Caenorhabditis elegans: one gene and its partners. The protein of the gene in region 3 purifies or fractionates together with the protein of the main gene of each other region. This does not show direct contact. Each region holds a gene or a part of one and is shown on either strand. Other genes may lie near its edges. The genes, in order: faah-5, cku-70 and clec-182.

Evidence for each region.
Region 1: the proteins of clec-182 (region 3) and faah-5 fractionate together in Caenorhabditis elegans (co-fractionation; one large-scale study listed by BioGRID). This does not show direct contact.
Region 2: the proteins of clec-182 (region 3) and cku-70 fractionate together in Caenorhabditis elegans (co-fractionation; one large-scale study listed by BioGRID). This does not show direct contact.

Annotation. Positions count from the first base shown.
Region 1 is NC_003281.10:11,884,269-11,894,365, forward strand, and holds faah-5 (Amidase domain-containing protein), read right to left. Parts: upstream 7,168-10,097; coding exon 7,060-7,167; intron 6,324-7,059; coding exon 6,128-6,323; intron 6,075-6,127; coding exon 5,955-6,074; intron 4,922-5,954; coding exon 4,836-4,921; intron 4,784-4,835; coding exon 4,070-4,783; intron 3,067-4,069; coding exon 2,748-3,066; intron 2,637-2,747; coding exon 2,248-2,636; 3' UTR 2,217-2,247; downstream 1-2,216. Other genes in the region: Y56A3A.41 (RRM domain-containing protein), read right to left, coding at 7,904-8,240, 8,293-8,497, 8,677-8,704.
Region 2 is NC_003281.10:11,152,156-11,159,711, forward strand, and holds the start of cku-70 (Ku domain-containing protein), read left to right. Parts: upstream 1-2,671; coding exon 2,672-2,893; intron 2,894-2,946; coding exon 2,947-3,049; intron 3,050-4,453; coding exon of another isoform or gene 4,454-5,044; intron 5,045-6,060; coding exon 6,061-6,245; intron 6,246-7,036; coding exon 7,037-7,171; intron 7,172-7,556. Other genes in the region: pola-1 (DNA polymerase), read left to right, coding at 434-633, 1,641-1,789; Y47D3A.31 (BAR domain-containing protein), read right to left, coding at 4,454-5,044.
Region 3 is NC_003282.8:8,794,876-8,801,466, forward strand, and holds clec-182 (C-type lectin domain-containing protein), read right to left. Parts: upstream 3,481-6,591; coding exon 3,231-3,480; intron 2,897-3,230; coding exon 2,428-2,896; intron 2,367-2,427; coding exon 2,184-2,366; intron 2,112-2,183; coding exon 2,006-2,111; downstream 1-2,005. Other genes in the region: exc-5 (DH domain-containing protein), read right to left, coding at 4,594-4,809, 4,862-4,945, 5,141-5,369, 5,422-5,495, 5,541-5,726, 5,784-6,023, 6,076-6,412, 6,463-6,591.

The DNA of each region.
Region 1 (10,097 bases), on a different chromosome or scaffold from region 3:
CGGGGGTTCCCTGGGCGGCTTGCTACTTCTTGTCGTGTTGCGTGCCAACTTTCTGCGGCCTGTTAGACCGTTTGATGGATGTCCCGCAGATTTTATCATGGATATCGCATATTGCTGGTTCATGAGCTTAATTTTGTGGGATAAGGGAAGGATGCCCGCCTCGTCGTGGATGTGGTATCCAGGGGTGTCTTTTGTGAGGCCGCAGCAGACGCGCAGGATTGCCCTGTACGATGAGTCAAGGCTGTCCATCCTCGTGGGCTTCACAAGTTGAGACCAACTTTGGCAGGCGTAGGTGGCGCCCGGTTTGGTGATGGCTTTGAACGTGGTAAGCATGAGTTCCTTGTTGCTGCCCCAGGTGGTCCCGGCGAGTCCTTTCATCTGATTCAGCTGGCTCTGGAGTCTCTTCTTGATTTGGGCGTGGTGTTCGCGCATGCAGAGCATGGAGTCAAAGTGAAGCCCTAAGAGACGGCACTCGTTTGTGGTAGGAATTTGGATTCCCTCCCAGGTAAGCAGGCTTAGTGGGTGGGGGCAGAGCAAGGGTGGAAGAGGCAGTGGTGTTAGTGGCGGGTCCTGGAGGCCTGGAAGGTCTTGTGGTGGTGGTTGATCCAGAAATAGAGCAGCCGGCGCAGAAAAAGCCATGGTGGCTGGAGGGGTTTTTCCCGATGTTGGCGCATCTCGCATGTGTCCAGACTCTGCACAGGCTCGCCATACATTTGATAGTGGTTTCCTTTTTCCCGTCGGCGTTCTTGTTGCAGATGGAGCAGGGCCATTTAACAGTGGGTCCTGGGTTGCTTTCGACGTCGCCAGATCTGACGAGAAGCTTCCTCTTGAGGAAGGTGGTGTGTGGGAGGGATGGTGTTTCACATAGCGACGCGCTCCCTCTTAGCGCCGCTCTGTCCGAAAAAACTTTGAGGCTCTTGGAGCACTCCTCCGTTTGGTCCAGACGTGGTTTTGAATTTAGGTGTTGATGGGTATTGGCCCCGTTTCCGGGGGACTCCTGGCCCGCGTTGAGGGTCCCATCTGTACCAGGAGGGGGTAGTCCCTCATAACATCCCTAGCTGCAAGTCATATCTATGAAATTTCTGGTAAGCCAGGGGTACTTTGGCACTTATCAAGTTAACTCAATTAAGATTAAATTTTTTAACATTAAAATTTAATTTAAGGGATAGTAGCGCCAGTGGGGAAATTGTTAAAAACCACTCATTTGGTCCCAAAATGACCAAATATCATAATAAAACTTTCCAAAACACTGTCAAAAAGTGACAATTACTCAGTTTTTGCCACTCATAATTTTGGAAGTCGACCAAAAAAATTGTTTTTTTTTCGACATTTTTTATGTCTTAATTTTTTAAAAATTATTTGTATTAAAACATGCGACATTTCTTTAAATTTCCTCAAAATCTCGTATTTTTCAAAATTTTGGCAATTCGCTAATGCTTTGGCAGGAAACTATAAAAAATCTAAAAATTTTTAGGAGTGTTTTATTATGATATTCGGTTGTTTTGGATTATTATAAGTGCATTTAGACAAAATCCCCACTGGCGCTACTTCACCTTTAAATTTAAGCATTTTCAAACAAACAGTTACCTTTGGTGGTTAAACCAATTAATTTGTAAAGAACATTTTCGTGATATTTTCATTTGTTTGAACTACATAAATTAATACTTTAACAAGCTTGTTGTCAGGCCCATTATGGCAGTTTTATTGGGTTTCAAAGATTTATTGCCTTAAAATGGGGTACTTTGTCATATCAGTTAGCATATTTTTAAAAAAACTGGAAAAAAATCGTGGAAATACACCATTAATATGTCGTAGTTCGACTGATCTACTATAAAATATAACTATTCCTGCTGAATATTCGTATTTTCAACCATTTTCTGAAGCGCAAGTCTTTAATTTCTACGTATAGGCCAGAACAAGCGGGCTCCGCGGAGTTTCAACATGAAATCTGAAAAAGAAACCTTGAATAATAGGAATTGTATACTATTTTACTCGCATTTTTAACGATTATAGTTTATTTCACCCTAAAATGACAGGTTAATATGTACGTCAAGGTGTCTCATTTCGACTTGATCTACGTTGATCTACAAAAAATGCAGCAGAGTTCACGACTGATTTCGCATGATTAAGAACGTGCTGACGTCACATTTTTTGGGCGAAAAATTCCCGCATTTTTTGTAGATCAAATCGTAATGGGACAGCATGGCACCACGTGGGTTATAAGAGGAAATACGAAGCAATTAAATATTATTTCTTTGGAGCAATCTTCTTCTCGAATCTCTCAAAACACTCGAAACTATCCCCATTCGTCCAAATCGTCTGATTCTCCGACTTCCACCTCAACACCTGAACTCCTTCACTGATCTCCTCAACGATTCTCATCACTTTCAAACACATTTCCTCTTGATTCGGAAGTGCTACGATTTGAACAGAATTTGGCATTCCACTCGTCTCTTTTATTGCTGCTGCCTGAAGTTTTAGCACAAAATCCCCGTTTGTCTCGAATTTATCGTTTTCTTTTTCACGGACTGGAGCTACTGGGACAACGGCGGACGGGCAGTCGAGCATGTTGAATAGACCAGTTATGAAGGCTCCAGTTGTAAGAAGGACCGGATATTTGAATGGTTGGGCAGGGGCTGAAAATTTAACGAATCTAGCAGGTTCCTCGCCGTTTGATCTCCAGAAAATCCGTAATTTTTGAGATCAAACTGCTAGGAACGTTCTCTGCATTCACTTTAAATACTTACTGATAAACGAGGGACAAATCAACGCATCGATGCCTAATCCCTTCCAATATCGAATCCACTTCATTTTGTACGAATCCGTTTTCTCCTGATTCTGCCGAACACACGCCGGATCCGAATTGTACGCCTTGCCAAGACACAGCACCTGTTTTGATTTGAGCGGAGTGTATTGGGCGAGTGGAAGTAAGACGTGTTGGGCGAGCCAACGAATCACGAATACTTGTTTGTAACGGACGAGCCGAATGAAGTGGGACATGTAGCGATCGTATGGCTCGCTGCCGTACATTTCAGACATGTACTCTCCGTTGTCAGGCATCACGTTCTGGGGAATGAGCTGTTGGAAGGTTATAGGCTTTTGGCTTTTGACTCATGTGCTGAACAGCAATTCGCCAATTTCGGAAATTTTCATTTTGGGCAAATTGCCGATTTGCCGTTTGCCGAACATCAATTTGCCGGAAATTATTAGAGGGATTTTTTATTATTATTTAGGAGCATTCATAGGATGCATAAAGTTTTGCAGATTAAGATTGAAATTGTGAAACTTCCAGAAAAAACTCCGCAAATCGGCAAAATGCTGGAATTGGAAATTTCCGGCAAATCGGCAAATCGGGAAATTTGCCTATTTGCCGGAAAAAACGCAAAACCACAATTTGCCAATAAATTTTCGGCAATTGCCTTTTTTTCGGCATATTCACAAATCGGGAAATTTCGCCAATTTGCCGGAAATTTTCAATTCCGGCAATTTGCCGATTTGCCGGAAATATCCAATTTCGGCAATTTGCCGATTTGCCGGAAAATTTTCAATTCTGGCAATTTGCCGATTTGCCGGAAATTTCCAATTCTGGCAATTTGCCGATTGGCCGGAAATTTCCGATTCCGGCAATTTGCCAATTTGCCGAAAATTTTCAATTTTGCCGATTTGCCGGAAATTTTCAATTCCGGCAATTTGCCCGATTTGCCGGAAACGCTCAGTTCCGGAAATTTGCCAATTTGCCTATTTGCTGGAAATTTTCAATTCCGACAATGCGCCGGTTGCGGATTTGCCGGAAATTTTCATTTTGGGCAAATTGCCGATTTGCCGTTTGCCGGATATTAATTTGCCGGAACTAGAGAAGAAATTCCGCCACATCGGCAAACCGGCAAATCGGTAAATTTTCCGATTTTCAATTCCAACAATTTGCCGATTTGCCGGAAAAAATCGTTTGCCGCTCACCCCGGCGTTCGGCAAAAAAAGACTCAAGCTGAAATCAAGACTAAAACTTCTGATACCGGGAGTCGGGCCAGTAAACCGGCAGACTATTGACTATCATAACTTCATAACTTACTCTGAATAACATATCGGCCACAGCGTGTGAATGAAACTTTGTATCAATATCATTCACTTTAAATTCCTTAACTTCATAACCCAATTCCTTCAGCTTCCCAATAGTTTCCTCAACTGCTCGCTGATTCGATGGAGACACTGAACAGAATCCATCATCTACAAACCATCCTATAACCGGCTTCCGCTTATCATCCGAACTAGTGTCTAATAACGGGGACAATGAAGAATACGGTGACATTTGTTGATATTCCGGCTTCCCAATGACCAGCCTCAACAGGTATTCCTGATCTTCCACATTTCGAGTAAAGAATCCACAGCTGTAACCAAGCCGTCCACGTCCAGGAAGCCCGGGGTGCATCTCACTCTCGTGAAGTCGATCTTGAGTAGGCTTCAACGACACCAGCCCGCAAAATGCTGCAGGGATCCGAAGACTTCCCACCAGATCGTTGCCAATTCCAAATACAGTACCACCGGCTGCAAGTAGAGCAGCCTCTCCACCAGACGATCCACCAGGAGTACGAGAAAAGTCCCACGGGTTCTTGGTAGTTCCATAGACTGGATTAGAAGTGATATAGGATAAAAGTCCCTGTGGAAGGTTTGTCAAGCAGAAAGGGATGGCTCCTTGATTCTTGAGAAATTTGACGAGCGAGCACGTGGTGGTCTCCCGTTGCTCGAGAAGGCTTGCCAGTCCGACGGTAGCCTCGTAGCCAGTCACCTAGAATATAAGCTAGGTTGCTAAGATCTTAAAACAAGTTAGAATCCCTCACATAGAAATTGCTCTTCACAGAAAACGGAATTCCAAATAGCGGGGGTTTCGGTTGCTCACGATATTCATCGTCAAGTCTTGCAGCATCTGAAACACGAATTTAAATTCTTTATTACCTTTTGACCTCCAAAAATTGCGTCAGACAAATGTGTCTAAGTTTCCCGCAATTTTTGGAGGTCAAATGGCAAGGGGTCCTCAGCGTCGAAAGCGCATAAAGTTGCTGGCGCATTTGGCGCGACTTTGAAAAATCCAGATTTTTCTTCTAATTTTGACTTATAGCACGTAACGTGATGCCAGGCTTACGGTTTGATCTACAAAAAATGCGGGAATTTTTTCGCCTAAAAAAATGTGACGTCGGCACGTTCTTAACCATGCGAAATCAGTGGAGAACTCTGCCGCATTTTTTGTAGATCAACGTAGATCAAACCGAAAAGAGACATTCTGACACCACGTGGCACGTGGAGTCAGAGAGTTCCATTTCGCTTTGATCTACGGAAAATGCGATGCGGGAACTGAGAGGTAGGCATCTCAACTGGTTTCGCATGGTTAAGAGTGTGCTGACGTCACATTTTTTCTGGTAGAAAATTCCCGCATTTTTTGTAGATCAAACCGCAATGAGACTTTCTGAAACCACGTGTTATAGCAAATGTGTTCGCAAGTTTAGAACTACAATTCTGTGCATCTAAAATTTTCTGAGAATGCGTAACATACCTGACGAGCAAAATATCTCGTAGCGAAAACTGCAGTAATTCTTTAAATGGCTACTGTAGAGCTTTAGAGCTTGTGTCGATTTACGGGTCGATAAGTGGTCTACACAAGCGCTACTGTAGCCAATTAAAGGATTACTGTAGTTTTCGCTACGAGATATGTTGCGCGTCAAATATGTTGTGCAATACGCATTCTAAGAATTATGTGTTCCCCGTGATCACGTGGTTCCAGGCTGCCCACTTGCTGTTTGATCTACAAAAAATGCGGGATTTTTTGCCCAAAAAAATGTGACGTCAGCACGTTCTTAACCATACGAAATCAGTTGAGAACTCTGCCGCATTTTTTGTAGATCAACGTAGATCACGCCAAAATAAGACACTCTAGCACCACGTTGAAACTATTTGCTTCATACCTGTAAAAGCTTCCTTAATAACTTCAGTGATGCAATTGATCTTCCGATTTATCTTTATTGCTCTCCAGACATACGCACTCAGCACTGTGTAAGCGTTGAACTTTTCGGATTGAAGCGCCTCTTAAAAAATTGGGAATTGGGCTTTAAAGTTTAAATTTCCCCTTACAAGTTACCTCTCAAAGTGGGAAAATCCATAGCAAGTACTGTCTGAAACGTTTTCTCAATCTCATCAGCATTCTCTTTCGATCCATTAATCCGTTCACTGTGCAAAAGTTTCGATGGAAGAGTTCTGTTCTCAAAGTCCGTGAATGCGTCGGCTTGGCGGACACGGAAGTTTCGGATTTTACGATTTCGCGATGGTTTTCGGCACTAAAAGTATAATGTTTAACGGCAAAATCGGAATTTCCAAAGCGAAGCTCGCCTAAAGGTCAGGCAGGTAGGCGCACGTGGTGCCAGAGTGTCTCATTTCGGCTTGATCTACGTAGATCTACAAAAAATGCGGCAGAGTTCTCAACTGATTTTGCATGATTAAGAACGTGCTGACGTCAAATTTTTCTGGGCAAAAAATCCAGCTTTTTTGTAGATCAAACCGTAATGGGGCAGCGGTTTAACTTTTGCCATTATTTTCGAAAGTGTCAATAATTTACGTGTCGAAAATGGATTTTCTACATTATTTCAAAAGAAACATCGTGAAAACCTACAGAAAAGCACATTTTAAAAACAAAAAAAATAAGGGAATCGTTTAAATTTCCAGTTGCGATTTTACAAAGGAATTCTCTCAGTTTTTCCGTAAAAAATGAAATAATTAAGCATTTTTATGCTTGTACCACAATTCAACTTGCGCGTCAAATATGGTGCAACCAACTCAATGCATCACATTTTACGCGCAAGTTTAAAAAACCACAGAACAGCACGTGGTGCCAGGCTGTCCCATCACGGTTTGATCTACAAAAAATGCGGGAATTTTTCGCCTAAAAAACAGTGACGTCAGCACGTTCTTAACCATGCTAAATCAGTTGAGTAGCCTGTGTCTCGATTCCCGCATTTTTTGTAGATCACAACGAAATGGGACATTCTGACATCACAAAACAGTCGATACGCTCACCTTTTCCAAAAGAACTTTTGGAATTGCATACATAATAAGAAATGGAATACTTGCTAGATAAAATATGAATACTAAAAACCCGACGAACACTTTTGCAAGGCAACTCATCACTTTTTCAGTCAGAGTTTTTTTTTCCGGAAAAACAGCAGATTATATATTATAGATGGGGGATTTATTATGAATGGGGAACTAATGTGTTATTCGAGTGGGCAATTGTAGGTACGATTTTGTGTTAATTCCTTGGAAATGGGAAGAGAGATTCGGTTCCTTGTGAGAAAATATGTAGGAGAATATGAGGCTAGATTAATAATTTATTAGTCAAAACAATGACAGCAATAACAGTTCTCTGTGCATAAAATTTCAGTGATGGGTCCTGACACATTTTAGCTACCGTGCCCTTATTTCCTTGCGAAATGGTCTCGCCACGATCTCTGTTATCCGCCACACCACGATATTACACAGTTGCGCAATTTCAGACAGGTATTATGGGAGCGCAAAAATTCTGAGAATACGTACTGCACAACATATTTGACGCGCAAAATATCTAGTAGCGAAAAGAAAACTACAGTAATCCTTTAAATGACTACTGTTGTGACGATTTACGGGCAGCAATTAAAATTTGAGCAAAAATAAAAAGAAAATTCATTTCAAAAATCGAGCCCGTAAATCGACACTACAGTAGTCATTTAAAGGATTACTGTAGTTTTATTTTCGCTACTAGATATTTTGCGCGTCAAATATGTTGTGCAGTACGTATTCTCAGAATATTGCGTTTCCGTAATATTTTGAGTTGAAGCAGTTTATGCGTCTTTAAGTACTGAAAACTGTAGTTTTTTGTGAGAAATTATTTTAATTCGAATTTATTTAAGCAAAGTTTAGCAAAAATAAGCGAAATTCCGGCAAAAAAAATTATTGACTTTTGGAATTTTTTCTCGCTAAAGGGTTTCACAATTGCGATCAGCTTACGCCCATCCCATTCGAATTCATTGGCATTTTCAGCGAAATCAGCCGCACTGTGGTGGTCGTCGAAAGTGAGCTTGGCCGTAAGGCATGGAGACTTTACGGTGCTCATACAAATGCCAAAAAACTTGCCCAATCCCACGCATTGAGGGAACAACTTGGGGAATGACACATCTTCGGGAATGTTTCCGAGAATGATTGTGGCAGCTCCATCTGACTTTCTGAAAAAAAAACAATGAAATGCCTCTAATTTTTTGTAGAAATTAGACTTACTCGTTGCCAAATTTCGCAATGAGTAGAAGCGCGTGTGCGTGACCAACACATTTTCCGATTTTCACAAATTCTTCGCGATTCTTTTTATACTTATCCACATCCATCTTCAATTCATCGAGAACAAACAAGATTTCATTTTTAATGAAATCGACGGGAGACCAATCACGAGCTAGAGCCTTTTCGAGAAGCTCCGAGTAAGCTGCCACTGAAATAAACAGTTTGTATAAAATAATTGCTCCGCAGGCTAAATATTCTTTGCTTAAAGAATATTAGGCCTGTGGAACAAGTGTGAGATCAATTTGAGGATGATTTTCTTTGCTTAAAATTATAAAATGACTGATAGCATCTCAAATTCAAAAGTTTTGTCGATTTTATTTGACTTACATTTAATCTTATCCTCCATTTTGGACATGGAAAATGAAGAAAATTAGGACGAGAATAGAAAATTTTAATGAGAATTGATTGATGAAATTTTCGTTGCGAGACCTTTTCATTTTTTGCAAACGCGCTCCACTGGACGCTGGACGCTGCAAACGCGCTCCGCTGGAATTTAAGCGCCGAACATCGATTTTTTAAACATTTTATCGATGTTTTGCTATTTTAACTGGTGAAAATTGTTGAAAATACTTGAAGAAAGGCGAGAAAAATGTGGTTTTTGAATTTGGTGCAAAAATAATCTCAAAATTTACATAGTAATCATCATAATTTTAGCAATTAATACTTCCCGGTTTTGTTTTATATGAAAATATCGTTAAAGTCAAGCAAAAATGCATTATCTTATCGAAAAAGAATAAAAGAAACACTAAAATTATATTAAATTCAGATACAAAAAATATAAACTACGCATTGAACGAAATGAAGCAGGTTGAAGCTGCACTAAGGAACGGCAATTTTCAGTGTAAACTAGTGGCGATGGATATACATTTTATGTACTTAAATTGTTCAAAACCCTTCATACAGTCTCTTGATGAAGTTTCAGAAAATTTGTGGATCTATTTTTTTGAATAAATTTCAAATTTGTGGCAATTACACCTATTTTACGTGAATTTCCGGTCTAAATTGAAAAATTCAATATGAACTTGTGACAGTAGGTATGAATTTTTGTATATAATTTGTTTTTAATAGTCTACCGTATGAAGTAGTGAAATTTCAGAAAATTTGTGGATCTAGTTTTTGAAAAATGTGCCAGTTTTGACGCATAAACCTAATAATTGCCTTATAAATCAAATTTCCAACATTAGTTAGGAAAATAACCGTTTTTAAATGTCTTTTAGTCATTTTAAAAACAATTTGTGTGTATTTTTGTAATTTTGATCCATTTTAATGTCTCATTCATCGATTTCATTTCATTCATTCTATATTTTTTATTTAGCGCGCTTAGCCACGGCCATGGCTAAGGCCATTCTCATTTTTCCCTATGCCAGATGTACCAATTTACACGCCGTGGCTGTGCAGTACGCATTCTCAGAATTTTGTGTTTCCGTAATATTTTGAGTTGAAGCAGTTTATGCGTCTTTAAGTACTGAAAACTGTAGTTTTTTGTGAGAAATTATTTTAATTCGAATTTATTTAAGCAAAGTTTAGCAAAAATAAGCGAAATTCCGGCAAAAAAATTTTTTTACTTTTGGAATTTTTTCTCACTAAAAATAGCTTTTTTTCGAAAAACAATTGAAAAAATTTGGTCAAAATTTCACAAAGTTTAAAATTACAGTACCCTTTGACAAAAACTTGTCGTGGCGAGACCGGTTACCGTAACTTTTACGCCAAAAATTCGAAATTTTCGCGGGTAATAAAGAAAAACGAAT
Region 2 (7,556 bases), on a different chromosome or scaffold from region 3:
GCAAATCGGCAAATTGCCGGAATTAAAGATTTCCGGCAAATTGGCCAATTGACGGAGTTCAAAATTTCTGGCAAATTGGAAAATTGCCGGAATTGAAAATTTTCGGCAAGTTGTCAAATTGCCGGAATTATAAATTTCCGGCAAACCAGCAAATTGCCGGAATTGGAAAGTTCCCTGCAAATCGGCAAATTGTCGGAATTAAAGATTTCCGGCAATTTGCCCAACGGCTATTGGCGCACACTTAATATTCTTGTAAAAATAGGAAAAATGGCAAAAATTTCCGAATTTTTTGAAAATCGAAACACAAAAAACCGCACACTGAAAAATATTAAACAATTTTTTTTTTCAAATCCCCATAAAATTTCTTTTTTTTAGAGGCAAAATTTAAAAAAAAATTCCGAATTTTTTCAAAAAATCGTAATTTTTGTTGCAGATGCGATGAGCCAACGTGTGAATTCAAAACTCGCGTACAAACGATGAAATGGTGTCGAGAAGGACTCGAATGTATTCGATGCTCAACTGGTGTGCTCCGTCGTGAATACACTTCAAAACAGCTTTTCGATCAGCAAATGTTCTTTCGAACAATTCTCGATGTCGACGCGGCTGTACGAAAGTTGAGCGACGCCCAGAAAAGTTCGTGTTTGCGAAATTTTATTGGAAAAAAATGGGAAAAATCCCTAGAAAATGGGAAATTTCGGCGAAATTCAGCCAAGAATCGTGAGAATTAGCGGAAAATCTCGAAAATAATGGAAACAAACCGAATTAGGAGAACATTTTTAACTATTTTTGCGTTAAAATCATTCAAAATTCGATTTAAAAAATGTGATTTTCTTTCAATTTTTTTTTTGGAAATCGGACTTTTAATGTAAACTTTTGGTGAATAATTGTAATTTCAAAAAAAAAAACGCAGAGTTCGGAGAAAAAGTTTACTTAAAAAATTTTATTTTCTATTTCAGCAGCTATTCAGCATTTTTTTTTTTCAAAAAAAAAATTACGGAGATAAAATTATTCGGCTTTTATAATTTTATTACTCAATCCCGAAATTTCACGATTTTTGCGCCCGGGTCTCGACACGACAAATTGTTGTTGAATGCGAAAAGGTGTGCGCCTTTAAAGAGTACTGTAGTTTCAAACGGAATTTTTTATCGATTTTGCGCATAGATTTTCACACGATTTGTTAAAATTTAAGCGGTTTATTTCAGTTTTTCTAATAAAAAGCATATTTTTTAACGAAAAACTGAAAAAAATTGGATGAAATTTGAGAAATTTTCATCCATTTTTTTCAGTTTTTCGTTAAACAAAAAAACTGAAATAAACCGCTTAAGTTTTAACAAATCGTGTGAAATTCTATGCGCAAAATCGATTAAAAAAATCCGTTTGAAACTACAGTACTCTTTAAAGGCGCACACTTTTTCGCATTCAACAACAATTTGTCGTATCGAGACCCGGTACCGTATTCTTTGAAAAGCTTGGCTCAAATAATTTTAAATCCGTAATTTTTTTTCAGTAAATTTTTTCTCCGATTTCTGAGTTTTTTTTTTCGTTGAAAATTACAATTTTTCACTAAAAATTAGCATTAAAAGTTCGATTTCCAGGAAATTTTGTACAATTTTTTCTTCAAAAAAGTTTTTTTTTTCCAGAAGCCGCCAAAGTCCGTGTCGAATATAATGGGTGCAAAATCGATTCAATGATGTTGGCTGATCGAATCAATGAGAAATATTTGGAGAAAAATGCCTATAATCGAGTGGATCTTTCATATATTTTTGCGCCAATGATGAAAATTCAATGAATTTATTTTCTTTTTTTTTTGAAAATTTCCCCCCAGTTTTGCGATTTTCCCGTCTTTTTTATGTCGAAATTTCTAATTTCCTAATTTTTTTCACAAGTCATTTCCTCCTCCTCCATTTTTCCATTTTCTCCTAATTTTCAGTGAAAAATTCTTTATTTTTCCCCAAAAAAATATTCCCGAAAATACTCAAATCATATCTGATAAACAATCGAATCCTGTGTTAATTCTCCCTTTTTTCACTGAATTTTTGGAGTTTTTCCATCTCTGAAAAAATTATTTCAATTTATTATAGTATTTGTGTCGACTTACGGGGAGAATTTGAACATTTTCGCTATTTTCAAATTTTCTATGCAAAGTAATTTATTTTATTGTAAAATTAAAATTTTTGAGCAAAAAATAACACTTCTCCTCGAGGAGTACACGAAGGCTGCTGCGTAAATCGACACAGGGGTTGTCGATTTACGAGGGATAATGTTTCGGAAACTGAAATTTTAGCCAAAAAAAAAGTCGAGATTTTGCAAAAAAATTGAACTCAAACTTGTCCACGTGTAGTTCAAAATCCGTCGTAAATCGACACATGCATAAAAACCGTGTGTCTATTTACGCAGCTGGTGTACTCCTCGAGGAGAAGTTTTTTTTTTTTAATTTTTCAGTCACGAGCTCCGTAAATCGACAAAATATGATATTTTTTTCTCGAAAAATTTGAAAAAAAAAACTTTCGAAATTTTCAAAACTTGAAAAATGTCAAATTTCAAAGTTTTTGAGAACAAAAATATTTTAATAAATATTTTTAAATTCAAAAAAAATTAATTTTTCGATTTTTTCAGTCAAAATTTGAATTTTTTTTCGAGAAAAGTTTGAAAAAAATCAATTTTTTTCCAGATGGACGAAACCCGCTTCGAGGATGACGATTTCGAGGGTTCAACGGCCAATAAAAAGTACACATTCTTCATAATTGACGGAAATCCGGCAATGTTCGAAACGTCGAAAGCCGGTGAGCCGCCAGAGTTCAAGCTTGCTCTGAAGCTCATTCTCGACGAAATAGTCCGTGTTTGCTGCTCGCGGAGCCTTAACAATCATATCGGAGTGATTGTCACTAGTACTGTACGAGTTTTTTCTGAAGAATTTCTGAAAATTTAATAATTTTTTAATTACAGAAAAACTCGGAGACCGAGGGACTCGAAAATAGCACTCTGCTTGTGCCGATGGGTGTTCTTGGACAGGAAGAAGTGAATAAGATTAAGGAAATTGCGGAGGAAGGTGCGGAAATCGCGGACAATTTCTGACATTTTCGTGGTTTTTTTTCTCGGCATTCGTCGTCTTTTGGCGACTTGGCACAATTTTCGCAGTGAATTAGGCAAACTTCTAATTTTTCAAAATCTCGACAAATTGGCAATTTCCAGTTAAATTTCGAGTAAAATCTACAATTTCAGAATATTATACGCAATCTGGCAATTTTTTGGCAAAAAATTGATTGTTCTTTTGACTTTTGGCAGAATTTCGGTAGATCACCACTTTTTTGAAAATTCGAACGATTTTTTTCCGGCAAATAGACAAATTGTCGGAATTGAAAATTTCTGGCAAATTGCCAAATTGCCGGACATGACAATTTCTGGCAAATTGCCAGAATTAAAAGTTTCTGGCAAATTGCCAGAATTGATTGAAAATTTACGGCAAATTGCCAAATTGCCGGAATTGAAAGTTTCCGGCAAACCGGCAAGTTGCCGGAAACTTTCATTTTTGGCAATTCGGCAACTTGCTGGAAATTAAATTTTCCGGCAATTCGGCAAACCGGCAAATTGTTGGAAATTAAAGTTTCCGGCAAATCGGCAAAATGCCGGAATTGAAAATTTCCGGCAAACCGGAAAATTGTCGGAAATTAAAGTTTCCGTCAACTCGGCAATCCGGCAAGTTGCCAGAAATGAAAATATCCGTCAATTCGGCAAACCGGCAACTTGCTAGAAATCAAAATTTCCGGCAAATTGCTGAAAATGAAATTTTCCGGCAAATCGGCAAGTTGCTAGAAATTAAAATTTGCGGCAATTCGGCAAACCGGCAAGTTGCCGGAAACGAAAATTTCCGTCACGGCAAACCGGCAAATTGCCAGAATTGAAAATTTACGGCAAAACTGCAAACCGGCAAGTTGCCAGAAATGAAAATTTCCGTCAATTCGGCAAACCGGCAAATTGCCAGAAATGAAAGTTCTCGTCAAAACGGCAAACCGGCAAGTTCCCATAAATGAAAATATACGGTAATTCGGTAAATCGGCAAATTGTCGGAATTTAGTTTCCGGTAAATCTGCAACTTGCCGGAATAAAAAATTTCCGGCAACAATTCGGCAAACCGGCACATTGTCGGAAATTAAAGTTTCCGGCAAACCGGCATTTCCGACAATTTGCCGAATTTGCCAAACGGCAATTGCCGTCCACCACTGCTTTCGACAAAACAATTTCCGGTATTTTTTTTTCAAGAAATTGGCAATTTTCGACGCCAGAACTTAGCTTTTCATAAAGAGCGGCCTGAAATCGTGTAGGCCACGCCGCCTAGAAAATTGGCAAAACAATATTTCATAATAACCTAATTTATTTTCAAAAAAAAAAAAGGTTTTTTTGTGAGATCTCTTCAATTTTCAATTTCTCATCCATCACCACCACCACCACCACCTCAATTCGGTTTCCTCATTCCGGCCTTTATCTCCCGCATCAATTCATCTTGCCACATGGAATGAGTCTCCTCAATTGTCTGAATACTTATCGCCAACTCACGCATCCGATCACAAGCCACCTCAAACTCACGAGTGGCATCATCAAACCGAGTCCGATTGACGTCAGTGTCGTTGCTGGCGTACTTGTTCGCAGCACTATCCATATCGAGACGTGTCTTATTCAAATTGGCAATTGTATTTGTGTGAAGCTTACTCTCGTTCTGTGTGAACGCCTTGTACCGCTCACAAATCGCCAGCACCTTATCCATCGACTCGACTTCTGCCTCCATCCGCGTGTCGACACAATTGATGAACGGTTGCACGTTGATACGATCTCCGAGCAGAGCATAGTTCTCCAGTGGGCCTGAAAAGTTGGCTTTCACTTGCCAATTTGCCACGTCGTTCAGATTTGCCATGTGCTTGTAGAGATCCTGGACGCGGGGCTTCAGAGATTTGAAGTAGATCAACGCCTCGTCGATTTCGGCGGGAAGCACTGTCGCCTTGCTTCTGCCCGTCTTTTCTTTCACTTTTTGCTTTAGTCGACTGAACATTGTTGAACAACTCACGCACACACCACCGAGTCGAAATTTAGGAATAAATTGAATTTTGAATTTTGTCCGCGGCGTTTTTTTTTTTTGCTGTTGGAATTTTGAAATTTCCAACGTGGAATTTTGGGATTTTCACGGAAAAAAATTTGATATTTGAGTTTTGTTCAAGTTTGAAAAAGTTAGAAAAGTTTCAATTCCGGCGATTTGCCGGTTTATCGGAAATTTGCAATTCCGGCAATTTGCCGGTTTTGTCGATATGCCGGAAATTTTCATTTCCGCCAATTTGCCGATTTGCCGGAAATTTTCTACTCCGGCAATTTGCCGGAAATGTTCAATTCCGCCCATTTGCCGGTTTGCCGGAAGTTTTTAATTCTGGCAATTTGCTGGTTTTCCGTAAATTTTCCGATTTGCCGGAAATTTTCTATTCCGGCAATTCGCTGGTTTGCCAAAAATTTTCAATTCCGCCAATTTGCCGATTTGCCGGAAGTTTTCAATTCCGACAATTTTCCGATTTGGCTGTAGATTCCATTTCGGCAATTTGCCGGTTTGCCGAAACTTTCAGTTCCGGCAATTTGCCGATTTGCCGGAAATTTTCTACTCCGGCAATTTGCCGGAAATGTTCAATTCCGGCAATTTGCCGGTTTGCCGGCAGTTTTCAATTCCGGAAATTTGCCGATTTATCGGAATTTTTAATTCCGCCCATTTGCCGGTTTGCCGGAAGTTTTTAATTCCGGCAAGTTGCCGAATTGCCGGAAAGAAATCGTTTGCCGCCCACGCCTGCAGTAGATTTCGAAATTTTCGGCAAGTTTATGCAACCGACGTTATTTTGGTTTTACCGGAAATTTGATATATTTGCAAAGTCACTAGACATATGCGATTCTCAGTGAAGGCTTTCCGACCAATAAGCGATCCGAGGTGGGCGTGACCAACATTGCTAATTGGTTGGCGGTCCCGATTTGAAGTGAAATTTCAATTTTCAGAAGTTTTCCGAAAAGAAAATAAATAATTTTTTGTTCCAGAAAACCTCCTCTCGGCAGTGAACAATTACGGCGGTGATCATCACAAATCCGACTTGTCAAATGTGCTTAACTACTGTAAACGAGTGTTTGCAAGTTGTTCGAATACACGTCATCAATCGGTCATTTATTTGACAAACAATCGGAATCCATTTGAACGTGACGATTTTTTGGAATCTTCGCATTTTGTTAGTGGATTTTTTGGCGGGTTTTCGTGGAAAAAACACATAAAATATCGTTAAAAAATACAAAAAAAGAAACTTTAAAAAATCATAATATCCATGGAAAATTAAATTTACTGACAAAATATATAAATTAGTGTTGTAGTCAAAAAAAATTCGGAAAACTATTGAGCACTTTTCCAATTTTTCCAACTGAAATGCAATCTTTCTTAGATATTATAGGAGCCCAAAATTCTGAGAATGCGTACTGTGCAACAGATTTGACGCGCAAAATGTAGCTATATCTCGTAGCGAAAACTACAGTAATTCTTTAAGTGACTACTGTATCGCTTGTGTCGATTTACGGAAATCATTTATCAATCGATAAAATATTAAAAGAAAACACAAAAATGACAATTTTCTTTAGATTTTCGTTTTTTTGTCACTTGTGTGTTTTTGTTTAATATGTTATTATCGATTAATAAATGTTTTCCGTAAATCGACACACAATCACTACAGTAGTCATTTAAAGAATTACTGTAGTTTTCGCTACGAGATATAGTTATGTTTTGCGCGTCAAATATGTTGCACAGTACGCATTCTCAGAATTTTGGGCTCCTATAATATCTAAGAAAGATTGCATTTCAGTTGGAAAAATTGAAAAAAAGTGCTCAAAAGATTTCGGAATTTTTTTTTGAATAAAACACTAATTTCTATATTTTGTAAATAAATTCAATTTTTCGTGAATTTTACGATTTTCGAGTAAATTTTAAGCGCTAAATTTTCAATTTTAAGCAAAATTATTTTTTTTTCTTCAGAAACGCACCAAAGCCGCGGTCACCAAAATTATCGGTGAGGGACATCGAAAGACGCTCGGTGAATTTTCGGTTATTATGTTGCCAGAGGATGGATATAAGCCACAGGATAAGGACGAGAAACGGAAGGAGCCATGGGTACTCTACTGTGCAGGAAAAATAAATCGATAAATTTTTAAATTTTTCCGAAAAAAAAAGTGTTTTCTTTTCGAAAAATCTAGCTTTTTTAAAGCGTGAAAATCATAATTTTTTGGTTTATTTTTTTTTCCTTTTTTCTATTAAAAAATTAATTTTTTGAGGAAAAGTCTTCAAAAATAAATTTTAAAAATCGATTTTTGAATAAAACAGATGTTAAAACTAAACCAAAATTATTTTTTCCCCGGTTTTTCGAATAAAAAGGGTTTTAAAATATATTTTTTTGTTTTAATTAAAAAGGTTTTTTTTTCATCCGAAACCCCGGGAAAAAATTTAAAAAAAAACGGAGATTTAACGGATTTCCGAATTTTTAAATAATTATCGCTTT
Region 3 (6,591 bases):
TGAACCTAGGCATCAGATCCTTAGAATACTCTTGTAATGCTTATTACACAACACATATACACACACACGCCCCCTTTTGACAAATTGGATGTCTTCAGAAGGAAGCACGAGGCACAGAGAGGGCGAACAACTAGAAACAATGTGGGAGGGACGGGGGGACGGGGACGGGCATGAAGAAAACGACGACGGGGTGAGGACGAGAAGAAAATAGAGAAGGCAGCGAAAAAAAGTGCGAAGCGACTAGTGTCTCGGGGGCAAGAGACACAAGTGAATGATATGAGATGGAGGAGTTAGAGAAAAGAAAGGAGCGAACATCAAACGGACGGACGGGACGGGACGCCGCTCCTCTTCTTCTCGCTCCGTCGTCGTTGTCGTCGTTGTCTCGGGGTGGTCACGAGAAGGCGGGCGGGAAGGAGAGGGCAAAATTGAGCAGCATAGAAGACGAAGAGGCGCAGAATCTCCCCCCCCCCCCCCTCACAAGTCGACCACGAAGAACAACATGTTCGAAACGAAAAAAAAAAGAAAAAGAATGGGAAGAAGAAGGAAAGACATGATGATGATAAGGAATTCGATACGTGTGTGTGTGCGGGGACAAGGGACAGGGACGTGTGTGTAATAAGGAAAATTGGTTAGTGCGAACGAGAGCGGTGTGGCGCCGAGATAAGGGCTATTGGTGGTTTAGAGGCGCTGTGTCATCCGATTATCACAGTTTAGAAAGGATATCAAAAACAAAAAGTTAGGAATATCCGGATGCGATAAGTCAGGTGCTTGATATGAGAACAGGATACCGAAAGCTCAGTCCCACAAAATGGATAACTTTTAACTTGGAAATTAATATTGAAATCTATAGCAAGTGATGATGTTAGTGGAAAACAAGGTATATAAGTGTAAAAAATAAACAATTGTTTCTAATTGCCAAAGAATTTTGATTAGCCAATATTAGCAACTACCGATCTCAAAACTTGAAACACCAAGTTCTTCATTTTGTTTTACCTCGTTTAGTGATGTTATTCCGATATATCGCGATAGTACGTACAATTGTGTTGTGCATTCATTTTTCCATTATTGTGCTCTAAAAATTTTGCGGTTTTCCGTTAGTGAAGCAATGAAATTCACCGAAAACATTTATCATGATTCAGTGTTGCACCTCCAGTAGCATTAGAAGCCATACCGTATTTCCATAATACAGAAATAACTCAACGAGCCCAAATTGGCATACATTATGATAACTAGGATTAAAACATATTTACTTTTTCCTTCAGATTTGAGATTGAGACATTTACATAATTGGATCTGATATGGATTTCTATCATTGAAACTTCCTCGATCTTCACGAAACCCAAAAAGTATACCACCTTCACATTCTCTCGATTTCTCCCATGCACTTCTCCAGTTTCGTTCTTCTTCATCTTCTATTTTCTTCTTCGTTCCTTATCCTTTGCCTCCCTTCTTCCTCTTCTTCTCATAAAAGAACACCGTGAGTAGGGGAGCAGGGAGCAGCAGTAGAAGCAGCAGAAAGAGCATCAAAGGAGAGAGTCGAAAAATGAATTTATTGGCTGGTCGGAAGAGTGCATGTGCATGTCTGTGCAGCCAGATATATTCTGAAGAAAAGAACAACTTAGAAGAAAAAGAAGAAGAAGGAAAGAAGGATGAAGATGATGATGAGAAATGTGTGCGTGTGTCACCGGTACTCTTCATGCTCAACGGAACAAATTGCTGGCACTGATGATGATGATGCTTGCGGGAAAGGGCATAAGAGAACCATGATTAACTTGTAATAGGCCTTACTAGGTCTTACTTTAGAACTTTAGTAATAAGCCTTACTTTAGTAGGGTCTCTATAGTTTCTGAAAAAACTAAATAGTTCTTAATCACCATATTTTGATACCACTATGGATTCCTAAAATATTCATTTTACAAACACTAAACAGCGGATACTACGCTAAAAAGTAGAAAATAGACAGATACATAATCAAGGAAATATGTGCACATGTCTCATACAATTCTTAAAATTTTACAATGCAGCTGTGAGCATCGCAGTGCCCAGTCTTTGCAGTTCCACCAAGATATACTTGTTTACCCTCTGTCAAATAGTCTCCACTCGAGCAACCACTGAAAGTAAAAAAGTTAAGTATTTGAATACTTTTTCAATAAAGAAGAAGACCAAATCAATATATTTCTTACTCATTTTTATAAGCATCCACAAGTGAAAATTGGTGATCTTTCAAATAAGGCTTAACATCCTCGAACTCTTGCTCAATTGCCGTGATGGGGAAACTTTCCACATTAAGAATGTTTCCAACTCCCTTACATGCATCCTTCAGTTCTTGAGTATTGTACATTTCTTTTCCTTGCAATTGAGTGATTCTGAATATGGCTTTCGTTATGAAATTTGATGGAGCAAATTCGAAATATGTAGAAAACCCACGTGTAATAACTTTGCGTTGGAATGATAGCACCATGTTTGTACACATGTATCGGATAAATTTCAGAGTATCGATGTGCCAAATAGTACATCTCAGCCATGGTCATCGGTGGAGTGTACTCACATATCACTTGATGCTCCGAATTTTGATCAAACATCATGATGGAACCAACACGTTCATCGTGCCTGTACGCTGCATCTTGTACATAGACAGCTGCGTGGCCTTTCCCATTTTCGTAATAATCTTCAAGATTTGGCACTGACACCCAGGCTTTTCGGATGTTTTCAATCTCCATTAGAAACAGATGCATATTTCTCGCAAAGAAATTTGCTACTTTTGGAGACAATTCAGGTCCGACTGATTGCTTCGAACAAGTGTCTTCAGCTTCTTTATACGTGAACTTTCCATCATACACTTTGTAGCATTTCCCGAGAATTTGCCAATAATCGGGTTCACATGCAACCGTAACCACTAAAGATGAAAGGTTTTGAAATGGAAATGGGTATTGATTATTTAATCAGTTTTCACTTTGTAAGGCTGTGAATGAGGAAAATGTTCTCACTTGAATGAGAAACGAGTCTCATCATAATAAAAAGAAAAGTAAAGACTCGAGAGAACGATCGTTTCTCACATTTTGAGTCTTTTCCAAAAAATTAGACGACTTCCTATTAGCCCTAGTTTCTAACCAAGAATATGAGCTCTTACAAAACAAAATCCCATTTCTTCACTTCTTTTTTTTTTGGAATTTGACTTCATGATGCGCAACAGTTCTAAATGTTAAAGCAAAAATTACAAGAACACGCACGGAATGTACATCTAGTTGAAGCTCCGCCTGGTCGATGTCCAGTGATGTAAAACGGTAATTTACTATTGCAATAATCTTTTGCCTCTTTTTCGTCCGCAACCCATCCAGGAATCTTAACCGTGCAAGTGTATCCTCTATCCGGGTAATCTTTCTCTGCTTCATGAATTGTTCCATCAAACATCCAACAAGTCTTAATCGAGCTCAGATCAATTGTTTTTTCGTAGATATTTTGAAAGTTTTCAAACGTCATACTGACTGAAACTGCAGGAGCTACTATGTGTGAAAAGAGCACCAAGAAAAGCTGAAAACAAAAATTCTTGTAAAGAAAAGCAAAATATGAAAGTTTCAGACAGAGGATCTTTGCCTAGTTACCGCTTGATAATATATTTATTACTGACCATTGACTGCATTTTGAACTGTGTATAGTTTCAATTCTACTCTTAAACTAATCGCAATCGATTCTCTATTGCGAACAGCTTGCTAATAAATTATGAATTTAAATGGGAAAATTATCATTTTATAAGGAGTTGATCTTGATAAAAAAAATTACGTGAAATCATCAATTACAAAAAAACAAAAAATTACACGCTACTTTTGAAAATAAAAAAAGAAATGTTTTCGTCAAATTTTGAATCAGAAGTATGTGAATATGTGAACTGGTTGTTAGTTATTTTTACGAAAAGCCGAGAGCACGGTAGAATTTTTGAGTATTTTTGCTTAAATTCCATGTTTAATGTTTTAAAACAAAAAGGCTTTAAACAGGGTTCATGACATTTGCAATCCAATGACATTGTCAGTTCAAAAATTCTATCAGAAAATGCTGAAACTGTAAAACTATGGAAGCACTAAAAACCGCGTTTAGTGTTTTTAGTTGTATATCATTTCTCTTTTGAGATTTAAAATTTAACATTACATAATTTTCGATGACCTAAATTGTGTTGACATTCATAAAAAAAAGCCAAACACAGTCCAAATAATTTAAAATTAGTGTTATAGTTTATTAAATGTTCAAAAAAAATTAATAAAACTCGTGGAGAAGGAGAAGGTAGTAAAAGAGACAATTTGGTCATTTCAAGGTCAGAAAATATTCAGATTGCAGGAGTTCAAAATTTCAGATTCTACGATGACTAGAATTCGAGAACAGATATGTGTTCAGGCGGAACGCACTTGCGTACGATTTTAGTAGTGAGTGAGAGAAGAGGGATGAGATGAGATGAACGTATTTAAAAAATATAATCAGTTCGGAAAATTTGGATACAGTTTCAACGAACGAATAATAAGAATTGAGAGAAAAACAAGAATAGAACACTGAAATAACTAAGAAAATAAACATATGTCTTGGCTGGGTGCCAAAAAAGAATCATCATTCAGATTGCTCGGATCCAGAATTCCGTTGATTCTTCAGATGTGCGTTTGCGGCTAAATCCAAAATCGCCAACCATTTCATTTGGGTTTGTTCGTCTTCAGCGGTCATTGTGTACATTCGACGGGCTCCGACTCGAACCGAAAATGTGAATTTTTCTCCACACATCTTTACTTCACATCCTGGAAGTGGCAGCATAGCCAAGGCACATATATCCTAAAAATATGATAATACAACAAATTGCAGAAATGACTGATCAAAAACATACCTCTTCTGATGAATAAGTGTACATACAGAAATCGTCTCGAACAACCATAAATCGATCTAACAATTTCCCCAAAGATCCACGGAACTGAAATATTATCGGATGAGTAACAAATAATTAAAAAAAACAAGATTATCAATAATTTCACTAGATAATAGCAGTTATGAAAGATTTGTTGGAGCTCTGGTTTTTGGCGAAGGTGCTAGAATTAGGTCAAGTTTATTTTAAAAAATCTATTCTATTAATTAGCTGAAATCTATTTAAAACTGTTCTAAGTCTTACCCTAATCTGGCTTGAATGCAATACTCCTGAACCCTTAGCTGGTAGTTGAAGAAGATTCCTTCGCATATTACTTTGAGTTGAAAAGCTTCTTGGAATTCCATCTAGATCCATATTTTTGGTGCATGTATCACATATTCTGTGCTTTTTCGACTCATTTCTGCGACGACCAAAACATTTTTTACAGAGACGACGACTGCATTTGACACATTTCGAACCCCGTGATAGGAACCTGACAAATTAGAAAAATAATTAAAGTTAGAAATGTTGAACTTTAAACTTACCCAAATTCAATATCACAATCAGCGCAGTGTTTCGATTCAATTGAATTATTGTTGTTTTCGCTTATAGAACTTCTCTGAAATTAAACTCATAATTTATTGTCCTACATAATAAAACTAACCGAGCTTGAAGTAAAAGTTAGACTGTGAGCTTTAGCTTCATCTATGATTGAGAAAATCGAATCAACCCAATCATTTTTCTCTTTTTGTGTTGGAGTGAACAGTTCAACACATCTCTTTGGACCAGTTCCATCGGATCCTCTTAGGTAAAATGAGTGCTCACGCTCCAAATTATCTCCTTCACAAACCTGTAAATTTAATGTTAATAAAATATTGGAATTTCGGCACTTTCTTGTTACACTAACCTGCATATGAGAAGCACTGAAAACTGCTCTCAACTTGTACTTGGAGACTCCAATCATCTTTCGTTCACTCGCCAAAATTACTAAATCATTAAACAAGAATATGAATCGTTCCTCGGTTTTCTCAGTTGTCGATGAGATTTTTTGAACTGATCCAGATTTGAGAAGTTCGCGTCCTGGGGATACTAGAGATATTGAGTTGCCTAGCTGTTCCTGAACTTCAATCACTTTCCCAAATCGATCCTGAAAACAAAATAACCTTATAGGCCTATACTTATTCCAAAATGTTATTTACCAATTTTTTCATCATTTCATTTGCATGTGCAGCTGCTTGTAATACCAATTCCAAAGCTACCGTAGTATCATCAAAATCAACATCACTCGGTTGAAGATGTTTCTTATATTCTTGTAATAATAATTGATATCTCATTACTCTCTGTACTGGACAAATTAAATGATGTCCAAGTGGAAGACCTTCACACTCTGCTTGCTTTTCAATTTCCTTAACTACATCTGCAAACTTTTTCTTCTTTTTCAGTTCTTCAAATAGTTTCGTGGCTCTATCGTAGTTATTCGTGTATTCTGAATACATTTTGAGGAACGGAGCTTGTTTTCGAACAACATTGGCGATTCTAAATTTTTTTAAATTTTGCAACAGACAATTAGAGAATATAAATGTTACCTTTTGGTTGTGTGCCAGTCTCTGATAGATTCCAATAGTTGCGGAAGGAAATGCGTATTATGAAATTGGTATAATGATGACACATTGGCAAGAAGTCGAGTTATTTTGTCATTTGTGATGAGTTCTTCT